2 linked regions of the Alligator mississippiensis genome follow. The protein of the gene in region 1 interacts with the protein of each later gene in a biochemical or structural test. Links are inferred from orthologs where the notes say so. Each region holds a gene or a part of one and is shown on either strand. Other genes may lie near its edges.

Region 1 (3,911 bases):
ATGATGTTATCATGGATTAAACTCAATACAACACTTTGTCTTGTCTATCTAGTCGCCACAGCTAGCTTACAGTGGGCTTGCTGAGCTAAACACCTACATGCTGGCTAAATGAGAGGTTACTACCAGTGAAAATAACTAAAACAGAAATTTCTGCATGAAATAGCAGTCATGCTCAAGGATAAAGGCACTGCTTATGGCTGGTTGAGATCCAGTGGTGCAGTAAATAATGCAATTTGCTTGACAAAATGATGGCACATGCTGGCCACAGACACTTTGAGTGACAGGGACTGTATGAAGTCATGCAAAGTTTAAAGGTTAATGCTGAAATAAATTCTACAAGGTTCTGTATGGATACCAGGGGACAGGACAGAAACCACGACTCAGCAGGAAGAATGAGGCTAAGGTGCCTTTAAAAGACATCTTTGCATTCTTCCAATCCTGGGCAGTTCTGGGGCTGAAGGAAAGGAGAAGCAATCCTTCCCCTACATGTCAGATAGACACTTCTGAAGAAGCAGCCTTCTGGTACTGTTCTATGAACTAATGTCACAGAATTTCTGCAGCACTGCAAATTGCAGCATCACTCCAACATGAAATCTTGCCTTCAGCCCTGCACCTGACACGCCACAAACTCTACTGCTGGTGAGGATCATACAGGAACAAGCATTATGACTGACCATGCACAAGGAAAATCCTCTCTCTGCTGGATGCAAAACTCTAAGAGACTCTTTTACACAGATCTCCCCTATTTATCTAATGTAAAAGGACTGGAACAGAGATAAGCATCAAAAACACAGGGAAAATAAAACAACTACAGCCCAAAGCAAAAATGTACTTTGGTTAACTCATTTTGAACAGCTGTTAAGGAATGCAAGGTTCAGAAACTCGGTCAATAACAAACAAAAAAACATTTTCATACCTGCACCAAGAGCAATCTTTCACATCAAATCTTAACAGGTCATTCAACATTGTTTTTCTGAAATGAAATACAGTAGGAAAATGTAATCAGCACTTAGCTATGTATGTGGGACAAACACAAAGTAGAGCTGTGTAGAAAACTCTGACTGCTCAGTCCTCTTGGAAATGTAGTACGTGATCACTACATAATCAAGAACTGAATTGTAAAGCATTTGTGCAAGGAGACATACTCAAGACTCTATGTTCCAGCTTGCCACCTGCATATTCTAGCTCCAAGGATTAGACGCATTATTTTTGTAGTGATTTACAAGTCCCATGTTAGGCCTCAGACACATTATTTTACAGTGCTTTGTGTGATATTATAGCACTACAAATAGTAAGTGTACAGAGATCCAGGCTGTTTATAGCGCTACAAAAATGGCAGATCCTCCACAACAAAGCTACTGTTTCAAACCAAAACTTCTTTGTGGTGCTCCATAAAGCACAGGCAGTCACATGTAGTACAACAGAAATGCTCCCAAGACTCCCAGCATCCCTGAAAGCTCTGCTCTCCCTCCCCGTTTCAGGGCAAGGGAGGAGAGTAACGGACTGCCTGACAGGGCATCACAAGCAGAGCTACATCTCTGTTCCCTTTGATGGCTATTACAGTCGCAGGTGTCCTGCTCTGTCAAACAGATGATTGGCAGCTCATCATGTCATCAGTAAGTTTGTCACAGCTGTCAGGAGCAGAGGTACAGCTCTGCTCACCATTGCAGCTGCCCCTGAACAATCCCTGACCAGCTGTTTGGCAGAGCAGGGCAGTCACAGCTGTCAAGCACAGCCCCCTACCATGGGCAGGCAGAGGCATAGCAAATAGAGTACAAGCATCAACAGCAGGAGGTCTCTGGAAACTTCAAGGCCTGTGAGGACATATGCTCTGTTCAAGAGGATCTTGAAGCTTACAGTGAAGAACAATACATCTTGAAAACACAAATCAATGCATTTCTTACAAAGGACCAAATATCTTAAGCCTCTGCAGTTTAAAATCTGAAAATAATTACTCTAATGAGCCCTACAGAAGAACAGCAGCAGGGAATCTTGTTCCACATCTTCCATAAACAGCTTGAGCTGTTAGATACTTGAAATTGCTACCGTTTGGCGTGACGGTATGTACGAAGGGGAGGGAATGAAGCTACAGCTTGCCTTGCTTCTTCAGAGGAAGCAACAGCTTGCAAGATGTGGCCTTTCAAATCCTTTTAAGATGAGTCTGGGTGCATCCACATGTGCACTTAAATGCGCATTAACCTATTTTAATGTTCATTAAAGCATCACTAGAAAAACTATGCTATTTAGTTTCTGCTCATTAAGACTAGCTAACATGCATTTTCCTAGTACCTCACAGTGGAGGTCGCAGATTTAATGCGCAGTAACTAAAGCACGTTCATGCACATGTAGACCGGCCCACTGTGTATAAAGCTGGGCGGTGGCTCCGAGGGCGCGCTGCCATGCTGTGCATATAACTAAGCTGTAACAGATGCATTTCTTTTCAGCCTCAAGCAAGTGGGTGCAGACTCCATAACTGCCGTAGCAAAGGGCATCAACGACAACGCTATTCCTCTTCTCGGGGGGCAGGGACTGCTGGTTACAGCAGCGCTGGCGGCAACAACTGGGTCAGCTGCGACTAGGCGGTGGCTATGCTTGCACCCGCCCCCGCTGCCCACTCTCAGGGGTCCAGCAGCCTTGGCACTCCTGCCCTGACCCTGTCAAGCACGGCCAGCCGACCGACCGCTGGGGAGGGCGAGCAGAGTGTGCCCCATTCCTGCCCCGCGGGCAGCTGGGGGCTGTGGCTATCAGCTCCCTGCCCCGCGACATGAGGCCGCGGGCAGATGACGGTCGCCTGAGTTTAAACCCCGTGCTCACCCGTTGTCACCGCCGAAGACGTAGATGGCATCGCGGTAGGCCACCACCGTGTGCTTGCTGCGCCTGCGGGGAGACAGCGGCGGTCAGGGAGGGCCCTACCCGCGGGCCCCGGCCCCCCCTCCCTCCCCCGCCCGGCCCCCCCCGGCGCGCACCGGGCTCCCACGAATTCGTCGCAGGGCGGCAGGCGGCGCCAGCGATGCACCGTCTCGAAGGGCCCGAAGTTGAGGGTCAGGTACTCGACGCTGTCCGAGCAGCTGTGGTCGAAGTCCACGCTCGGCGCCACCTTGGAGCGCCCCGCCGCACCCCCCGACAGCGGCCCCGCGCCCCCCGCCGCTGCCATCGCCCCGGCACGGGCGCTCCCGGCATGCCCTGCGGCTCCCGGCGTGCCCCGCTCCGAGCCTGTGGGAGGGCTCTCGAACGCCAACTCCCAGCATGCCCAGGGCTCGGGAAAGAACTGTCGTTCCCGACATGCTCTGCGCTAGGAAAGATGGAGACTACCACTCCCGGCATGCCCCGCCCCGAGACTGCGGGAGGGCGGGGAGATGTCAACTCCCAACATGCCCAAGGCCGGGGAAGGAACTACCACTCCCGACATACTCTGCGCTCGGCAGGATGGTGAGAGAGGAAGACTATAACTCCCGGCATGCTCTGCATCGCAGCCCGGAGCGGGGACCTCAGCTCCCGACATGCCCTGCGAGGAAGACGCGGCCAAGACAATACTCGCAGGGCTCATGGAGCGGGGGCGAGACAGCAGCTCCTGCGCATGCGCAGTGCGAAACCCCAGCCTGCACCAAGTTGACCAGGAGAAGAAATTACTTTGATCGCAAAAATAGCAAACGGCCTGAGCCTCAGCCAAGACCCTCCAGCCAGAAACCTCTGGATAGGAGTCCCAGTAGGAGCCTGGGCACATACACAGCAATCTCCAGTACTGGGGGAAAAATTCTTGTTGGCCACCCTTGGAGCCAGCCCCAGCCCTCTCCCCTGGCTCCTTGACTAACACCAGTTCTCAAAGGGAGCATCCTTGTGCCCTGCACTTCCTTTTATGCCCAGTGCACATCTTGCCCCACACCCATTCTTCCTACCCCCAAACTCTTCCT
Region 2 (3,911 bases), on another chromosome or scaffold:
ACAACTCCTTTAGTCATATTAATACTTTCAAAGGTCTGAGTATTTACACAATTATGAAACTTGCTAAGTATAAAGCAACATTTAACTTTTTCTCCCCAAATTTTAAAACTGATCACTTCTCCTTGAATGACAAGGGAATTTTCTAATTAAATGATGCCTTGCCTACAAGCTTGGATATGCTTTTAGTGTTGTAAGCATGCATGGTGCTTTGGTACACATATAAAAGGTACAGTCGCTGTTCTGAAGGTCCTACAATCTAACATGTTATTTTATAGATATTAGATATAATTTTTTCCACCTGTTCAGACAGTATCCACTAAAGTAACATTTGGAAGACTACTACTAGATCAAATAGTATATGAAGGTAAAACACTGAAGCGGGGGTGGTCTTTAGTACAGCAATGCACAAACATTTTCCCAATTACTGGATCACAAAATAATGTTCAGGTCATCCTGTGCAGTTAGTCTGAAAGCTTTCAAGAATAAAAGCAACATTTTCTAGGAAGATTACTTCCCCTCCACCACCTGGAAAGTAGTTTCATTTTAACATTCTGAACAAATACAGTGTCCTGAGCTGGATACTACCAGTGATAGGGACCAAACAACAGCCACTGGGCTTCTCTCAGTTCTAGTAACGTCTCAATTCTGATATGAAATATCCATGTCATACAAGTCCTGGGTATCTAAGCAAAACTCTGATTTTGCACAATCATGGTAGTTAAGTCGTAAGTTTCTATTATGGAGACTTCTTACTTCAGAGACAAGGTCCTTTGGCAAGAATAAGCAGTCACAAATGCCATGCTACTTCTATCCATTTCCTTTATTCTTAGCTTCACACACTACATTTTTAAAGATGACACAAGAAGGGCCGCCCCTGTGTTACCAACCAGATGCTCTTCATCTATGCCCACCAAGTCTCTATCTTTTTTTTTTTTAATTTACAACCCTATTACCAAGTCCTACCCTTGCACTTACGTCTACTGCATTTTATCATGTCAAATTAGATTGGGATCTCTTTGGGGCACAGATTTTATGCAGTTTTGCATAGAGGTATACCAATATATTGGTCCATATCGGATCGGCACTGATAAAAGGAAAATTGACATTATCAACTATTGGCTTTTTTGGCTGATGTAGCTGACAACGTCACCGATAAATGCCGTGCACACTCACACAGCCACAGCGTGCAATTGGCAGGGAATGCAGCCCAGGAGCTTAGAAAGCACAGTCCAGCTGGTAAGTCTGTGGGGGAAGGGACATGGAGGGTTGCAGATCAAGGCCCCCAAAGTGAGAGACAACTGGGATGGAGCAGGCACTGCCCAGCTGGGGCAGAGCACAGGAGAGGCCTGGGCATGGGGAGGCAGAGAGGAGGACAGCTCCTCACAGCTGTGCACACCTCAGGGGAGGCATGGGGGGCAAGTGCCCCTAGATTTGTGTGTGGGACAAGGGCAAGCTGCCCGCAGTGGGCTCAGGGCTAGGGGCTGAGCTGGCTTCTTCCCTGCGAGAGGCCTGGGCTGGGGCTGTGCTTGGGGCAGAGTAGGACAGGCAGCAGTGATGCTGGGAAGAGGGACATGGTGTGGGCTACAGCCACCCCAAATTCACTGTAGCCCACCCTGTAGCCTCCCCCTTCCCCCTCTAGTGCTGCTGCTGGTCTGCCCTGCCCACCCTGAGCACAGCCCAGGCCCCCCACTGAGAAGAGGCCAACACAGCCCTTGGCTCCAAGCCTGCAGTGGGCAGCCCACCGTTACCCTGCACACAAATGCAGGGGGGCACATGCCCCCCATGCCTCTCAGCTCTGCCCCTGCCCTGCCCAGGCAGCCCCATCCTGCCCTCTCCCCCCACAACAACAGACTCACTGGCTGGGCACTGCTCTCCATGCTGCTAGGCTGCATATCAGCTATTGGATTGGTATCGGTTGATATGGCTGGTTAATAATTGGCCATTGGTATTGGCCAAAAAAATCTTTATCCGTGCATTCCCAGTTTTGCAAAACACAATGCACATAATTTGACTCCAGGGAAGAAAACACAGCATTCCAACTATAGTGTTGTTTCTGATCCTGTGCAGGGAATTGTGTTTATCAAGTACTCTGATCCACTTGAGATTTCTGCCATCATCAGTATTTTCCCTTACAATTAAAAAGGCAGTACTGTTTTACAGAATTATTAAAAAAAAAACCAACCTAAAACAAAACAACTCTCAAATAAATATTTAATAGACTAAAATCTAGGGCCTCAAATCTAGTTTCAAGTGTATCCCACAATGTACTTGAGAGAAGAGAAGAATACTACACTGCCTATTCACAAATATCACAAAAACAGTACCAACAGGAGAGAAAAATCAATCTGCCTCTTGTATTATAAAAACATGTACATGCTGTTACAATGAAACTGTCTACCTCTATTGTAGGATCATATTCATCCACAAAATGATTCTGAATTAGCTGAATTGTCAAGGCGCTCTTGCCTACGCCACCAGCTCCAACAACGACAAGCTTATATTCTGTCATTTTTAGCAGCCCTGGTAAGGAGAAAAAAAGAAATCAAGTGTAAGTAAAACAAAACTTTGTTTCAATTCATTGAGAATAATGCTAGTTTAATAGCCATCCCTCAATTCACTTTACACTAGGTATAAAGGAAAAGAAGTTTCCCATCTCTCTTGTCCTCTCTTTCAGATGCACATCCAGAAGGGGATGTTATTTCTATTTCTCAATCAATACACATAAAGATTTAGATCAACAATACTTGCACCTATTGGTTACTGCTGAACTTAAAAACTAGTTATTAATATCATGCATTACATTCTGGTAACAGCTGGACATTTGTTCTTGCAGAGTGAAACATACAAAGTTCCGGCTCATGTTGTGATCAGCTGTTTTTAAAAAAAAGAAATGTTAAGGAATTGGGGGAGATGTTTCCCTGGATTTGAAAAAATATTTATGAATTGGATTAAGTGAGGCTGTTACTTTAAGATTTTCAGCGAGTTCACCAAAGTGAAGTGCTATAAAGAACTCCCTCCACATTTTTTTTTTTTGGAGTTAAGCACAGGAGCTCACCTTGACACCGTTCTCTGGGCAAGCAGCAACATATCACTGCTGATTTGGGGGCTCCTATTCAGTGCAGAGGATTACAAGGCTGCTGGAACAACATCCAGGGTCTTACCTGGACTCTCAGGAAAACCCTAAGAGGCCACTAAGAGCCAAGGAGCTGACAGGAGCCAGGGAGGGGCAGCGTCTTTGTTCGTCAGGTGCTTACAGGTTCATCCCTGGGGGGCCAGGGAGATGGCTTGGGGGAGGAGGGGCGGGCACGTACACGCATACATGCACACGTGTTAAAGAGACAGCTGGGCTAGGGGGAAGAGGGGTGTGTGAGCAAGCTGGACTGGGGGAAAGACTGGGGTGTATGGAGCTGGCTTAGGTGGGGGTGAGCTGGGGAATGTGTAAGAGCTGCTGAGAGAGAGAGCGAGCTGGGGGAGAAGAGGTGGGGTGTGGACTGCCCGGCGCAGCGCCGGGGGGTGGGAGGTGCCTGCACAAGGCGCTGCCCGCCGGTCCATGCAGGAGCAGTACCGGGCCGGGAGGTGCCGGGCGGTGCCACCTGTCCGGCCTTGGCCCCCCGGGGGCCTGTTAGCGCCGCCCGCGGTCCCGCTCCCAGGCAGCCGCCCCCTAGGCCCCGAGCCCCGCGCCCCGCTTGGCCGCGCTACATGCCTGCCTGCGGCTCTGCCCTGGCCGCGGCCGGCTCTGCTGTGGCCCCCGGCGTGGGGCGGGGCGGGACACTGCGCGTCCCTCGGCGGCCCGGTCTGAAATGGCGGGGCCGGGGCGGGCCGGGCGAGCGCTGCCCGGGGAGGCGGAGCGCCGAGCGCACGGATTGGCTCATCCATGCGCTCGGCGCTCCCCGCCTTGCCGGGGGGGGGGG

Evidence for each region.
Region 2: the proteins of LZTR1 (region 1) and KRAS form a complex in vitro, tested with the Homo sapiens proteins (2 studies listed by BioGRID, with this or other methods). The link is inferred for Alligator mississippiensis from reciprocal best matches to the Homo sapiens genes LZTR1 and KRAS.

What each region holds. Positions count from the first base shown.
Region 1 is NC_081837.1:32,892,406-32,896,316, forward strand, and holds the start of LZTR1 (leucine-zipper-like transcriptional regulator 1), read right to left. Parts: upstream 3,170-3,911; 5' UTR 3,155-3,169; coding exon 2,967-3,154; intron 2,878-2,966; coding exon 2,815-2,877; intron 974-2,814; coding exon 917-973; intron 1-916. UniProt on the Homo sapiens protein: Substrate-specific adapter of a BCR (BTB-CUL3-RBX1) E3 ubiquitin-protein ligase complex that mediates ubiquitination of Ras (K-Ras/KRAS, N-Ras/NRAS and H-Ras/HRAS).
Region 2 is NC_081827.1:127,854,320-127,858,230, forward strand, and holds the start of KRAS (GTPase KRas), read right to left. Parts: upstream 2,510-3,911; coding exon 2,399-2,509; intron 1-2,398. UniProt on the Homo sapiens protein: Ras proteins bind GDP/GTP and possess intrinsic GTPase activity. Plays an important role in the regulation of cell proliferation.